Linked DNA regions of Caenorhabditis elegans. Each later gene encodes a partner of the first gene's protein in a complex. Each region holds a gene or a part of one and is shown on either strand. Other genes may lie near its edges. The genes, in order: calm-1 and tmc-2. A codon is read from its position in the direction of its gene.

Evidence for each region.
Region 2: the proteins of calm-1 (region 1) and tmc-2 are in contact, whole or in part, in a cryo-EM structure (PDB 8TKP), measured with the Caenorhabditis elegans proteins. Residues at the interface, in NP_492514.2 of Caenorhabditis elegans: Ser15 (codon at 3,360), Asp26 (codon at 3,393), Glu27 (codon at 3,396), Tyr28 (codon at 3,399), Gln29 (codon at 3,402), Asp30 (codon at 4,013), Cys31 (codon at 4,016), Thr32 (codon at 4,019), Phe33 (codon at 4,022), Thr35 (codon at 4,028), Arg36 (codon at 4,031), Lys37 (codon at 4,034), Asp38 (codon at 4,037), Pro63 (codon at 4,112), Ala64 (codon at 4,115), Pro77 (codon at 4,154), Glu78 (codon at 4,157), Glu81 (codon at 4,741), Asn82 (codon at 4,744), Pro83 (codon at 4,747), Phe84 (codon at 4,750), Ile88 (codon at 4,762), Val91 (codon at 4,771), Phe92 (codon at 4,774), Ser93 (codon at 4,777), Glu94 (codon at 4,780), Asp103 (codon at 4,807), Asp107 (codon at 4,819), Phe112 (codon at 4,834), Leu118 (codon at 4,852); in NP_001335510.1 of Caenorhabditis elegans: Leu107 (codon at 2,910), Arg108 (codon at 2,913), Gly109 (codon at 2,916), Gln110 (codon at 2,919), Pro111 (codon at 2,922), Trp112 (codon at 2,925), Tyr113 (codon at 2,928), Met114 (codon at 2,931), Lys115 (codon at 2,934), Lys117 (codon at 2,940), Arg118 (codon at 2,943), Leu121 (codon at 2,952), Gln125 (codon at 3,014), Arg154 (codon at 3,101), Asn158 (codon at 3,113), Ile161 (codon at 3,122), Tyr162 (codon at 3,125), Glu167 (codon at 3,140), Ile170 (codon at 3,149), Arg171 (codon at 3,152), Glu174 (codon at 3,161), Ser179 (codon at 3,176), Val180 (codon at 3,179), Thr186 (codon at 3,197), Arg307 (codon at 3,962), Gly308 (codon at 3,965), Thr309 (codon at 3,968), Ser311 (codon at 3,974), Ser312 (codon at 3,977), Gly313 (codon at 3,980).

What each region holds. Positions count from the first base shown.
Region 1 is NC_003279.8:9,472,142-9,478,096, reverse strand, and holds calm-1 (EF-hand domain-containing protein), read left to right. Parts: upstream 1-3,295; 5' UTR 3,296-3,317; coding exon 3,318-3,404; intron 3,405-4,012; coding exon 4,013-4,165; intron 4,166-4,740; coding exon 4,741-4,888; intron 4,889-5,182; coding exon 5,183-5,400; 3' UTR 5,401-5,455; downstream 5,456-5,955. Other genes in the region: F30A10.11 (Saposin B-type domain-containing protein), read right to left, coding at 1-232, 578-619; F30A10.14 (Saposin B-type domain-containing protein), read right to left, coding at 1,114-1,368, 1,419-1,466; skr-1 (Skp1-related protein), read right to left, coding at 5,774-5,947.
Region 2 is NC_003284.9:9,301,552-9,310,803, forward strand, and holds tmc-2 (Transmembrane channel-like protein 2), read left to right. Parts: upstream 1-2,172; 5' UTR 2,173-2,230; coding exon 2,231-2,371; intron 2,372-2,673; coding exon 2,674-2,756; intron 2,757-2,815; coding exon 2,816-2,956; intron 2,957-3,006; coding exon 3,007-3,271; intron 3,272-3,555; coding exon 3,556-3,678; intron 3,679-3,730; coding exon 3,731-3,876; intron 3,877-3,942; coding exon 3,943-4,040; intron 4,041-4,088; coding exon 4,089-4,303; intron 4,304-4,347; coding exon 4,348-4,463; intron 4,464-4,517; coding exon 4,518-4,655; intron 4,656-4,802; coding exon 4,803-5,072; intron 5,073-5,117; coding exon 5,118-5,313; intron 5,314-5,696; coding exon 5,697-5,754; intron 5,755-5,802; coding exon 5,803-6,052; intron 6,053-6,199; coding exon 6,200-6,325; intron 6,326-6,372; coding exon 6,373-6,451; intron 6,452-6,546; coding exon 6,547-6,986; intron 6,987-7,108; coding exon 7,109-7,213; intron 7,214-7,265; coding exon 7,266-7,382; intron 7,383-7,457; and 15 more. Other genes in the region: H29C22.1 (uncharacterized protein), read right to left, coding at 9,145-9,252. UniProt on the Caenorhabditis elegans protein: Probable ion channel.

The DNA.
Region 1 (5,955 bases):
AACAGAATTTGAAGCATGCCATTTTCTTTATGTCCATAATGAATGGATACATTTTTGGGTACGATGAAGTCAAATCGGCTGCGTTTACAAGCCCTATACATGCAGATGCTGCGTCTCCACTTTGCGCACATCCCGTTCTAAGAAGTGATTGAGCATCATTCCAGTTGTCTGGAACTTGAATGAGTCCACTGCAAAACATACAAAGATTGCCAAGTTGGGCGTCAGAACCAATCTGAAAGCATTAGATTTTTGAAAATTTCGGTACACTGCCAAATTTTTGAATTGGAAAATTGCATGTTTTTTTGAGAAATTTAGAGCAAATCCGCATTTTTGAACACTACAAGATTAAAGCAAAAATATTTCAAATAAAATACAGGTGTAAAGTTAATAGAAATTTGTTGTTTTTTCGTAAATATTCAAAATTATGATAGATGAAAACTGAGAGATTTATCCTTTTTGACTATGGGTGAAAAATTCAACAAAATGTTGATAAGTTGTATTATAGGATAGATTTCCAACAATTACATCACTCTTATATTCAAATTTAGACAGTTCTTGAAATTTTAAAATGACTTACCACAAGAGCGGAGATGAAGAGGAAAACGAAAAGAAGCTTCATTGTTTTTTCGAAGGAAACCGTTTGGAAGAATACAATTTGAGCAGACTTTTTCTCTTTTATTTCGAGACACCATGAGAACCGAAATCAGTTCCCTTCTTTCAAGAAACCGATATGGGAAACATAGTTTTGGTTCTCTTGTGATCTTGCTGAACAGACGCTAGGAAAAATACAAATTCTTGGATTTTTGGCAAGTCGCCAATTTAATAAAAATTTTGCTTCGACAATTTTCGTTGGAAGTTTTACACTGGAATATCGAGCAATATACATAAATGTTTCTTATGTTATCATAACTTACTAATAAATTAAAGCGTTTCAAAAACGCGAAAATTTCAAAAAATTTACAACTGTACTCCTTTCTGTTTTCCTGTTTTCCTGTTTCCCGAAAATTTTAATTTCTGGCAAATCGGTAAATAGACAAATCAGCGTTTTTTTAAATTATCGGCAAATTTGACTAACCGACCCCAAATTTATTCTGAAATATGTCACAAGTTCAATTATAGTGAACAATACTCCTTTTTATATTTGTTACAGGCCATGTTCTTCATTTCCACAAGATAGGGATACACATTTTTATACGAAGATTCATCCATTTCAGCTGTATCAACAATTGCTTTACACTCCACTTTTCCAATTGTAAGCCATCTGCACACACTTCTGAGCAGAACTTGAAACTGATTCCAAACTGTTGGAACTTCTAATTCTCCTGTGCAGAATTTACATACTTGCGAATATGCTGTTTGCGCAAAGATCTGAATATCAATTACTTTCATATTTCTCAAAAATTCAACAAATTTCTTACCGGATTGAATAGAGAGAGAATGAACAAGCAGGGTATGATCGGTTTCATTTTTTTTTGAAAATAACTTGTGGTATGATGATATTTTTAAATTCCATTTATATAATTTTATAGAAATAATTTTGAAAAGAATGTTTTATGATTCACATTTCCTTTAGAATACTTTACAAAATATTTGTATAACAATTTGAAAATTTCCACATTAGGTGTTTACAGAATTGCCAACACGTTTCGAATTGATAATCAAAATCTTCGGGGTTTCGGGCTTCCAAATAGGCGTTTGAAGCCTTACTTCTTGAGCATTTTGTGGAAGACTATCTGAAGATGACATCGAAATTTTTGAACGAGAATCTTTTTACTTGAAAATCCAAATAAATATAATGCTTAATTAGGAATTTTCAGCTGTAAAATTCGACAACATAATTTTTATTAGCCATTCAAAAAATTATATAAGTAAAATGATGCGGTTCAATCGATTCACATTCTCCAATTCATTTTGCGATTGCGAGCGCTTAGGTATAAAAATCAGGAAGACGGACGAGACTCGGCTTGCTCTTTTGTGTTAGATAATGTATCTTCTAAACTAAATGCTTGCCTGATGAATGAATGCATCCTGTTTTTCTGTCCGTTTTTCTTCTGAATTTTTATTTGAACTCTGGTGTTCTTTGTTTGCATAGTGTTGGCTTCAATTATTTTGTCGAAAGATCTGTTCACATGTTTTTTGTAGGTTACAAGGTGGTCACATTTATTGCAATCTTTTTAGTGTCTACTAGGAAAGCCTTATACTAAAATTTCGTGAAAGGAAAATGTGTTCTGAATGACTTCACAATGACCACTAAAAGAGCATGAATCTCCAAAAGCTATAGAATTCGAAAAGGTTTCAATTTAATTTGGTTGAAACGAGAGTATTCATGCGGAATGAAACACGCTCTGCTACTTCCATCAACCTAATTTGCCGTGCCAATTCTTTCAGATTTACAAAAAGTCAATATCTAGGAATATACTTCTTCGAATTTCATTTTTGAGTTAGTGAACTATATGTTCCTACGCTCCAAGTTAAAGTATTTTAAATTTTGAATTAATTATCCTAATACTTAAAAGCTCTAAATTGAACAAATCGATACATTTTTCATCGAGATGTTGCAGTATATACCACTTACTTGCATAAATATTTTTTAAGTCCTAACTTTTTTGATAATTTGGCAATGTACTAAAAACAAAAATTTGATTGGAAATTTTGGAAACCTAAAACATTCCAAATTATTTAATTGAGATATAAACTTTTTGGTCTATTTTGAGTATGCTGTAGTATTTGCTCCAGCAGTGTTAATCCATTTTTCAAAAATAAACTTCCTCGTGATCCTGAAGGCGTGAAAAACAAAAATTGATAATTTTCTTATGTTGAATTTTAATAGATTTAACAATCAGAGAATTTAATTTTTAAACCACAGAAGAAAAATAACTGAGTTGGACATTCCCATGATCATCTTGAGAATCATCACCTATCCACATATGTATTCCCAACTCATCTGCGTCTCTAATTTTTATGTGTCATCGTTTAGTCTCTATGGGGGCCCCCATCTCCCATTTCTTCTCTCCCATAGACCCGGTCCCTCCGTGCCTTCTTCCTGCTCTTTCTGCATCTTCTTCTTCGCCTTCTCCCCCCGTGGCCTCCCGTCTAATGTTACACCATTTTCTGACTCTAAACCTCCACAATTTGTATACTATTTTCTGGTTTGTCTGCCACCCCAAACCCATTCTCATTTCCTCCTCGATTTCCGTGGGGCCAGGGGGCTCACCGAACAAAACTTTATTTTTAACAATAGGCAGTGTCTACTTTTTTTTCAAATACTTTCAGACAACTTTTGAACTAAAAGTAATCATTTCAGATCAGGTGACCAGATGGGAAACAATGCAAGTTCATTGTCAGAACTAAACCTTTTTTCAAAAGGAGGAGTCTTTACAAGAGAACAATTAGATGAATATCAAGTATGTTTTTATTTTTATTTTAAAAATTTACATCTCAAATTAAAATTGTAATTATAAAATGGTACTTGCATTACATTATTTTGCCATTTACCTCAAAAACTATCAAAATTCCTGAAAATTTTCAAACTATACTAGTAATCTTCAAGGAAAACATCATTTCTTGTCTACAATAAATAATAATGCCTTTTAACTTATTCGCTGAATTTTTGAATTTTTGGCAAAAACATAGTTGCAGGTCTCGAAAAGACTGGAAGATCTGATGAAAATTGATAAAGAGTAAGAACTACAGTACTACTTAAAGATGCATAACATATTCCGCATCCCTAATGTCGGCTCAAAATACTCATAATTTCGCTAATGAGCTCCACCTCGCACTTTCAGGAGCTTCCTCTAGCAGATTTTCGATCACTCACATTTAAATGAAAATATTTATTTGTTTGATTAATAATTTTATTAGTTGAAAAAAAGTCATCTTGCTACGAAGAATCTCGTTCAAAACGCTCATTTCTTTGAATTCCTCGGAGCACGTCCATTTTCTCAAAAAGAAGTGTACAAAGTGGCAGCCATCCATAAATCAAAATGAGAGTTTGTAGAATATCTCTTTTCAGGATTGCACATTTTTCACGAGAAAGGACATAATTCGACTATACAAAAGGTTTTATGCATTGAATCCACATAAAGTTCCAACAAATATGCAAGGAAATCGGCCTGCAATTACAACGCTGACTTTTGAAGAAGTTGAGAAAATGCCAGAATTAAAGGTACGACTTTTTTGTTGAAACATATTCTTGATTTTCAATTTGAACTTCTATTGCTAAGTTTGCAACTTTTATTTACAAAAAAGTGAAAGTGTCTTTATCGTAATAAAATTGGGAAAATGCAGTAATCCTACCGTGGCTATCAATAATGTTTTCCTCAAGTTACAGATTATTGCGTTTTTATTCTGAAAGTACGGTACCGACTCTGGCCAAATAATTTTGCACGCGCAAATGAATGTGCGCCTCTAATTACCGTAGTCAACTATCCGTTATTTCGCATTTTTCTTCATGTTTCCCGCGCTTTTTCTCTCACTTACATAGAATTTGCAATTATTTAAATTTTAAATAAGTTTTTTTTTCAAGAGAATAATGTTTTTGACAGAAGAAAACGCTGGCAAATATACAAAAATGCATAATTGGTTACTGTATCACTGTATTATAGGCTTACACTGTTTTTTCGCGATTTGAAAATATTTTGTTCGTGACGAGAGCGGGTACCATAGTACTCTTCGGGGGAAATATCAAAAATCTATATATCGGCCACATCAACTTGATGTGATACAATAACAAACTTTCAGGAAAATCCATTCAAACGACGAATCTGTGAAGTTTTCTCCGAAGACGGACGCGGAAATTTATCATTCGACGATTTTTTGGACATGTTCTCAGTGTTTTCGGAAATGGCACCACTCCAGTTAAAACTGAAATATGCTTTCAGAATTTATGGTAAGGAAGAGATTAGACATAAAATCATTTGATATTAACAATCCATAAAAGTTATATGGTTCTTATTACGTAGACGTCCATAGTTGCGAATTTTCACCACAATTTACGCGCAACGTCTCGCCATTCCGGCAACGGGTTACTGTAACTCGCGTAAATAAATTGTATTATATCATATTGTTATTTTAACAATCATGACATAAATTTTGCATTTATATCTGATAAAATTATATTGCAATAGCGGTCCTTAGAGGTCTGCGTAATAATATTTAATTTAGTATCAAAATATTGTTTTAGATTACGATGGAGATGAACTTCTTGGACATGATGATTTGAGTAAAATGATTCGAAGTTTAACAAGAGATGAGCTGAGTGATGTAGAAGTTGAATTTATAATTGAACGAATTATTGAAGAAGCTGATTTGGATGGAGACTCGAGTATAAACTTCGCAGAATTTGAACACGTTGTCTCTCGATCACCTGACTTCATTAGAACTTTTCATATCAGAATTTAAATACATTCACGGGTTATATTTTTTTCAATGTTTTACATAAATCGTTTGTTTTTTGTATCGTCTCATCAACTTTATTTTTAGGCATGTACAATCACGTAAAGGACACACTGATGTTCATTGGAGGAAATGTGTGAGAATCTCACACTGCATAATTTTTGCCGGTCGGTGATTTATAGGTATAAATATAGAATGGCGGTTAAAATTCAAAAGATGCATTTTAATTAGGTGAAAAAAGGAAGAAGTTTTTGGGCTGCCAGAGATGATGTAAAAAATAGACAGAGACCATATCAGGACAATGTGTGAAGTGTGAAGGGGAAGGAAGCGACATGTCGTTTAGAAATGTAATAGAGAAATAGGCAAACTGAAGGGTAATTTAATCCTCGCACCAGGCATTCTCTTTGCGGATTTGCTCTTCCTCTTCCGGGGTGAAGTCGTTCTTGATGTTGAAAGTGCGACGAATCTCTTCTGGAGATTTTCCCTTGATCATGTTAGCAACAGTCTTGCAGGTAACATCAAGAAGTCCCTTGATGTCCAAATAGTTGGCAGCCTAAAAAT
Region 2 (9,252 bases), on another chromosome or scaffold:
TAATATCTGTCTTGATTGGTTCCTGTTCATACACACCGCTGTTCTTTTAGATAATGAAGATGTATCTATCTTCTCAACTTGATTTTTAAAGAACGTAGTCATTATGTTCTTTTTTTGTAACCTCTAACCTTTTGTTGTCTCATTCTCGAGATTGGAAAAAAGTATCGAAAATTTGCCAACAAATCTAAGTTTTTGAAACAAGTTCCACGTTAGAAACTCATCACCAACAATAACAAATTTCTTCTTTTCACCCAATCCGCCACATTTTGACATGCGCTCAGTATGACAAGCTTAAAAGAAAAACACGAGTAGCATTCTGAAACGAGGATTGAACGTACGGATTGCTATAACAAGTTTGATCAAGAGCAGAGACTCTATATCTCCTGCTTATCTCTCGACAATGGTGTCCGTCCACCGGCAGAATGAGAAGAAGCATTTGTCGGGGAAGAGGATGTAACTAGCGTTGGTTCGGTGGGGGGAGATATTGCTTTGAGAGGAGAAAACGAAGGTTGACAAGAAGAGTTGAGCCTGAAGATAAAGAAGAACACCACATTTTTGTTTGATTGTCACATCCGACCGGACTACTACTTTTTTGCGTAATTTTTAGATTGTATGATTTTCTCTAATTTCACCTCTATCGAATTGCACCTGACCTTTCCGACACTTGAGAGATATGTTGTTCTTATTTTCTCTTTGAAAGTCCAAAAAGTTCGAGAGATCGCATTTCACACCATGTCCCTCAAGAAATGTTTCTATTATTCTTATCCCAAAAATTTGAAACATGAAGGAGTTTTTTATATTTTAAAACATATTTTGTATATTGTTTTTAGTTAGATTAAAAAAACATATGTTGTTGCTGCAACAGTTAGAAGTTTAAGTATTTATTCTCTGTTTCATCTTTAAAACAGATACAAATTGTTACAATTTTTACGGGTCCTTCTATGTGTATTAAATAATTGTTTCCAAAAACAAACAACATTGAGGGAAATTAAGATGTAAAAAAATAAAATAGTGGAATTGTCAAATACCATATTAAGACACCTTGCCATGTTGACACTTGATATTAAGAAATATTCAACAAATTCTCCTTTTTAAGTACTATATAATTCATTATGTGTGTACTAATTAAGTCAGGAAATTTAGAAAATACTTTTATACTTGTAAAATTATGAAAAACATGAAAATATGGTGTAAACCGTTTTTTTTAAATTCAAACCTCTTCACTTTTTACGTCTTCATTTCTCGACATTTAAAATCTCTGTTTTAACTCAAAAATTCACTTAGGATTCGAACTAATTGTTAAAAAAGAAAACATTAAAAACTAAATGGAACAACGAAGATCTTTATGACACTGATACTCAAATTTTACATCCCCTCTTAAGTTTACGACCCCTCTCCTCCTTTCCACTGCTCATTTCCTCCGCAAATGTTTTCCTAGCGATGTTCGTTTTTTTTTTTCAATTCAGACGTGCTCAATTGCGAACTTCTTACTCGCGAATTAGATCGGCAATCTGATGAGTATGTTTTGCTCTGTAGATTGGCCTCGAAAAAGAAACCGCATCAACAAGAGATTGAGACAGACGGTGGCTTGTGTTATTTGCCATCGACATCAAAATCAAACGTGAGGTGGTTGCAAACTCATCTCCAATTTGCTCTTTTCTCATCAATTGTTATCAATATCCTTCCCAGACCCGTCGTCTTTTTTCTCCTTGGCCGACGACGAGTCAAAGGCAAAAAATGTGTCTTTGCTCTGTGTTTCTTGCGTGTCTTCTGTCACAGACTACTCTTCTGTGTGCTTCTTTTCGGTCTCCAACCCGCAAAAATTTCATTCATTACATCGCTTGTTGCATTTCGAGCACCTCCCGCTGGCCGCGCTCACTATCACTTGTTTCATATCACAATTTTTACATAATGTGGCTCACACCAGACACATGGCCCGCGTCATCCACCACCATCAGATAACCGCTCTTTTCCATCTTGTTAAGTTTCTCAGACGCGCAAAAAATGACTTCACTCCGTCAATTGTCTCCGTGTTCTCTCTTAAACGTTTGCTTTTTTCTAATCATATCGCAATCGCCATTACTCACAAACCACTTCCGATCCGCAATCTTCCCGTTGTCTTTCTATGAGAGATTTAGTGCTAAAAATAAATAATATTATTGATCATCTAAGAAGCTGTCAACTGGACGCATCGAGCAGTGGACGCCGGCGTGCAGTCATCTAAAGCACGATGCCGAAATCAGGCGCTCATCAGCCTCTGGTTCGACATGACACTGATGATGGTGGGGAAACAGGACAGTCCGTTAAGTCTCTAGCGGATGTTTCTGAAGAGGAAATTGATAGTCGAATGAGTAGAAGATCGTCAGTTATTGTACGTTTTCAAACTCGCTTTGTAAATTCTTGACAATTATGCAGTATTTTATAAATAAAAATTATTTAAAAAATGAATTACAATTTCGTAAAAACTAGAAGTGAAATAAACGTTTAGTTTTCATTTGTTAAGACAAAAACGTATGCTCTTGAAATTCACAGAAACAATCAAGGTGTATAAAAACTATCAATTCAAAAATTATATAGTATTGCTCTGAAGTTGTGAAAGAGTAAAAATGTTTCCAAGTCCAGATTATAACAGCTAACACTTGTTTCATATATTTAAATTAATTTGATTTTCAGGCTGATCTGCTTTCTCTTTTTCGCCGTTCCTCCAGTGTTCTTGTTCGACCACATACACGATTAGGAAATCCCAATTTTGACGAGTGAGTTTTCCAAAAAATTTATTCACTTTCCAGCATTTTGTTCAATTTTCACATTACAGTGACGATGACGAATTCGACGAAGAAGACGACAAAGAAGCTTCGAAAGATAGGATACTCAAGAAAATTCAACAAAAGAAAGAAATTATACAAAAATTACGTGGCCAGCCGTGGTATATGAAAAGAAAACGGCGGACGTTGAAGTAAGACCGCTATGAACATTTGAGCGAAACGTCAAAATCGGAAATTTCAGAGTAGCACAAAAACATCTACAACAGCAAGAAGCAAAAGTCTCGAAAGCAAGATTATACAAAGCAGAGGCTGGTCGAAGATTGACACAAGCCAGTCGATGGTTGGATAATCTCAAAATTTATTTGATACCCTGGGAAGCAAAGATTCGAAAAATTGAAAGCCACTTTGGATCAGTTGTGTCGTCATATTTTACATTTCATCGATGGGTTCTCGGAGTTAACATCACAATCACATTTATTATGTGTATGTTCGTAGTTATACCTGAGGTGAGCTTCTACAAGCTTATAAAAACTTCAACGCTTCAAAAATAGGGCCTCCAATTTTGAACTAAAGAAAAGTTTGATGTACAATAAATGCGGGAATTGTTCGCCCGGAAAAATTTGACGTCAGCACGCTTTTAATCATGCTAAATCAGTAAAGGAATTCGCGTCTAGAAGCGTCTAAATTCCAGCAGTTTTTGATGATCAAGCCAAAATAGAACATTCTGACGTGCACGAGATTTTTTAATGATGATATGTCTTGGTTTTACACCTCAGATTATAATTTTCAGTGGCTCGCCGACTCTCGAACTCAATTCGGTGATGACAGATACAATAAGACAAAGGCCATCAAAGTAATGCCACCAGCTGTTCGTGCTCGTGCCGACGAGCTATCCACAGTCTGGGACTTTGGGGTGAGTTGTAATGATAACAGATAAAACCAATGTTCAATGGTTTTTTTTTCAGGGCTACTTTCAATACTCTTTATTATTTTACGGTTTTTACTCGAAAGAAACGTTTTTCGGAGAAACAATCAAATATCGTGTTCCAGTGGCTTATTTTTTCTGCAACATTTTTATTCTAGGATTTTCACTTTTCATCATCTTGAGGAAGTGAGTTTGAAAAAAAAAAGAAAATCAGATAGAACAGAAAAAAAAACAAACTCGTCCTAATTAAAGAATGGCGGCTAACAATCGTCGTGGGACCTTATCATCAGGAAAAACGCAACAGTATTTATTCAATTGGAAAGCTTTCACAGGCTGGGATTATACTATAGGTGAGCGTTCAGTTTTTTCGAGATTAATTTTATATTCTGAAAATTTAGGTAATCCTGAAACTGCTGGAAATGTCTATATGGCAAACGTTATAAAATTTCGTGAAGCAATAAACGATGATAAACAAAAGCCAAGTGACAAACATCCCTGGATTCGGTTTGTAGCACGTGTTCTTACAAATCTTTTCATTTGCGCAATGTATGTGTTCTCAATATGGGCCATTATGCAATGCGGAACTTTGAAAGGAGAACACTTTTTTGCGCAGGTTAGTAGTTCTTAGATGCTCAATAACACTATTAACTTATTCAGAATGCCACTGCTATAACCATTTCTCTCATTACATTAGTTTTCCCGAATATTTTTGATCTGCTGGGTAAAATTGAAAAGCTACACCCGAGAAATGCATTGAGGTTCCAACTTGGAAGGTATGTTTCAAAAAAATTTGAGCTTATGGAATTTGAGTAGAGGAATTTTTTCAGAGTGCTTGTTCTATACATTCTGAATTACTACACTCTGATTTATTCATTGATGTTGCAATTGGAGCATTTGCAGAAAGAGAAAAATGCCTCTGATAATCCAATTTCTGCACTTGGCCATCCAGGAGATGCAATAGGAAGGTTCGTGAGGTTACGCTTTTAATTAAACGGTTTCAAATAATTTATTGTAGTATGATAAGAATGGTTTGACTATTCTTTTTTTTTAAATAAAAAAACAGGAAACCGACGCTGCATACCTACAAAAGTCACTGATATAATTTATTCCAGAACAATACGTGAGACAGTGTTGCCTCGATATCCGGTAGACAACAATCCCCATACATACTACTCCTACGCCCCAGTTACAACAACTCCCATCCCTGCAACCAGTTCGTGGACAACTGTGCTTCCCGACTTTGGACCATTTGGAGTGTATAACCCGAAAGCATCAGTCACTAAGGACGATACAGTTTTCTCTTCTCCAGTTGTAGAAACGCACATGTTTGGACCAAACTCAGACTGGAATGAGACAACTGTGAATGCAGCAAGCCCAACGGGGTAATATAATTATTTGTTTTCTAATTGTAGGCATAACTTTTACAGAGCCACAACACGTGCATCACTCCGTATGTCTCAAGGAGGTCTTTGTTGGGAAACAATCATTGGCCAAGAAATAACAAAACTTGTGACAATGGACTTGTACATGACAGTCGCTTCAATTTTTCTGATTGATTTTCTTCGTGGTTTGGCATGTCGATATTTGAATTTATATTGGCCATGGGATTTGGAGAGAACATTTGTGAGTTTTTAAATTAATTTAGTCTGTATTGATTTGCTGTGTTTAAAGGGGCTCAAGACCATACCAAGTTTGGTGTTTCTGAAGTGTTAAGGACTTTTGGGCGATAAATAACTTAAAATATGGATTTTATTCTCTTTGCACATTGAAAATTGCTGTGACATTGGCAAATAGGTAAAATTTCAAATTTTAAATAATTTTATTTTAACTTATCATTTCTTAGGCCGTCATAACTTTTTTGAGAATTTTTCAATAAGTTTCATTATGAAATAGGGTGTTATTAGACAATTTTGATTCTAATAAAGCAATAAAAATAATTCGACTACACCATCTTTAACCACTGCTCACATACTTTTATTCAACATTTTATACATTTAAAATTTCAGCCTGAGTACGGAGAATTCAAAGTTGCTGAAAATGTGCTTCACTTGGTAAATAATCAAGGTAGGACAGATCAAACATTGTCTGCAAATATGCTGTTGCGTTTTTAAGGAATGATATGGCTCGGGCTCTTCTTTGTTCCACTTCTCCCAATGCTGAATAACATAAAATTGATTATCTTGATGTACATTCGAGGATGGGCTGCAATGACGTGCAATGTTCCGGCCAGTCAAATCTTTCGTGCCAGTCGTTCGTCCAACTTTTTCTTTGCACTACTAATACTGTTCCTATTCCTCTGTACACTTCCAGTCGGATTTGTTATAGCTTCAAAAACTCCGAGTAAAAGTTGTGGTCCATTTGGGTAAGAGTTTGATAAATTAAAACTTCAAATAAGTTTAATAAAAATTCAATATTTTTACATCTGTATTTTAAAGTACATCCTTAATATAAAGAAAATTGGGCTTAGCGTATATTTTTGAAGGTTCCCAATCACATATACGAATTTCAGAAATCAATCATTCTTCTACAGTGTCATTACTGATGTTCTTCATGAAAACTTAGACAAAACCCTTGTTAATGGTATCAAGTACAGTTTGTCTCCAGGAATCATTATTCCAGTTTTAGTACTGTTGTCGTAAGTTTTAAAACATTTGTAAATTTTTAAGTAGCTAAAAATTCCAGACTGGTTATATATTTCCTCATTGCAATGGTTACCGGATTATCACAAGCTAATCAAGACCTGTCATTTCAACTTATGGTGGTATGATTTTTAAAATTGTTTTATCAAAATTTAGTCCTATTCGAAATTTGACTGTCAAATGTAATGCAATGAAACATCACACTGAACATTTCCAGGAACGGACAGAAGAGAAGAAAAAAATCTTTGAGCTTGCCGGGGGAAAGAAGAAAAAGAGCAAAGACAACACATTTGGAAAACAAAAACCAAAACAATTACTACCCCCACCAACAAAAGGAGTTTCTTCTGATGATGATTCCCAGCACAATAGATCAACTGCTAAAAGTGTATCAGGTCGCCAATTTGTACCTTCATTAGGATCAGTATCAGAAGTTGATCACAGCACCGGTGAAGAACAATCTTCTGATAGTGAATCAACAACATCGTCGCTTCCGCCAAAGTTATCTCTTCGTCAGAGGTTTTTAGTATGCATTGGCTGGGCTGATCCAAATAAATATGGGCGACATGATGATATTGAAATGGAAGAAGGTGGTGGAAGGCTTCGAGAATTATCAACTGGTTCCGAAACAGATTCAGATGATGAGGATAGCGAAAAGAGGTAGTTTTTTTTATTCATATTTGCTTTTTTTCCGGGCCATTTTTTTAAAAGTAGTTTTCTTAGAAAAAATTTGTACTCGGATTTAAGTGTCACGTAGTTCCTCTAAAAGTTAATATTTTCAGAAACTCCGAAAGCAGATATCTTCTGCCACCCGACGGTTCTCGTCCAGCATCTAGAGAACGATCAGAAAATCCAAGTAAACGAAGCTCACAAAGTAGAAGAACAAGGCAAGCATCAATTATCACAGCAATCACTATTTACAAAATAATTATTTTTCAGTAATCGTGACATGTCCTACCGTACAGCTATCCAATCATTCGATCAAAACTCACAATCCGCATCAGCGTCTTCATCAAAATCTACTACTACTGCACCGTCCAATTCTGAAATGAGAATGTAAGTTTGATTGAAGGAAGACGTTTGGTTTGAATATTGTGAGAAGTTTTCGAAACGAGCACTTTTAATTTGCAGTGAGATCACAGAAAATCCACTTCACACTTACATCACACCTTTGCGAATTGAGAAAAAGTTTGTTATTGGTTTTATAACTGCTCTTATCACCTATGTTATACATTTTAGGAGCTCTGCTAGTTCATCAAGTAGCTCGCATCAGCCATCATCTTCAATTGAGAAACAAGCTGCAAGGAGGCTTCTGCAGCCAATTAGTACAACACACAATATTCGATATGGGTAAGGAATAACAATAACTTTTGGAAACCTGTTTTCACGACTTGATATTTTCAAATATACATTTCTCATTCAGTGCCTGAAATTAGCATTTAAAAAATATTATATCACTTTCTGAGCTACAGTATTATCACTACGAGCTTCACTTTGTTCGTTCATTGTTTTGTTCTGGATTTTTTTACTGATCGTATTTTTATTTCAAATGGTTGGCAGTACGTGATCAGAGACACGAAACAGGAAAATACATCACGTTTTGTGAAAAAAGACCTTTCAGATTCGATATTAGGTTTTTGACCGGCAAAAATACTTTGGTAGCTTAAGATAATCATTATAAATATTTTCAGAGTTGCTACGGTAGAAAACTCTTCCCAAGATCCAACTCGTCCTCCATCAACAGACGATTCACTTGGCGATCCTGCACTTCATGAACCACTATGGGCAAATCTGAATCCTCACAGCAGGTAGAAATGAAAAACTATATTGAAACTTTATCAATTTACCATGATTTCAGCTACACCTCTGCAATGATGTCTCCAATTATGAATGAGGTTATGTCAAATGATGAGACAACTGATGACGAGAAAGGGCGTTTGATTCCTGATAGGTAGGAAATCAGCAATACATTTTCTAATTAAACATATCGTTACATACCTTTTGCAATGTGTTAAATTAACAACTTCAGACCACCAATCCCACATTCACCAAGAGAGTTGAAAAGACTAAAACGTGAAAAAGATCAGCAATCAGAGAGCGGAAGTAAGCCGAGTGTAAGAACAAGTTGTCGTGAATACTATTTAAAGATATTGATGTTTCAGACTCCTCGACCACCTCGGTTTAGGATATCTATGTCACCTCCACGAAAGCCGCCTTCCGAAAAGAATGTAAGTAATTGGGAATAATGAAACAAAACTAGTTGTATTCATTTATTTTCAGGACTCTGACAGTTCGAATCGCAAGTATGAAATGAGAGTCGAAAAGTCGCCGAAAAAACCAAAAAAATCGGATAATGATTAATTTTTGTTGTCTTCTAATTTCATAATTAATTACTGGGTAATGTCCTATACCTTGGCTGGTCTTTCACATTTTCTATTGTTTTATTTTTAAATTTTAAAATCGTTCATACTTGGTGGTTTTTCAATGCCAATGCATTTCCAAACATTGGCGACAGAGTCTGTGATGTACATTTTTTAAACATGATGAATAAACATTTTTCATTCATTATTTTATTTTGTCTGCAAAATATACAATAATGGAAAAAAGCAAATTGTCCTCAAAATGTTAGTTTTTCTCAAAGGCGTGTCAGCAACTACATCAGGTAGATCAATACAAACTTTGTGAAAATAATTTTCTACCCGAAATTGGCCACTTTTGTCTTTTGTACACTTTCTCCTTTTCTCCTTAACATCAAAATATTTATAGTATCAATAAACACATTCGATTTCGTTTAATATCAACTAAGTTACACATTGAATTAGCCATTTAAAGGAATATCTATCGGACAAGTGGTCTCGGTTCCTCGTAATAGTTTCCAAACTTTGTTTTGTTCATCTTCAGTCATAATAAACTCCGCATAAGTTGG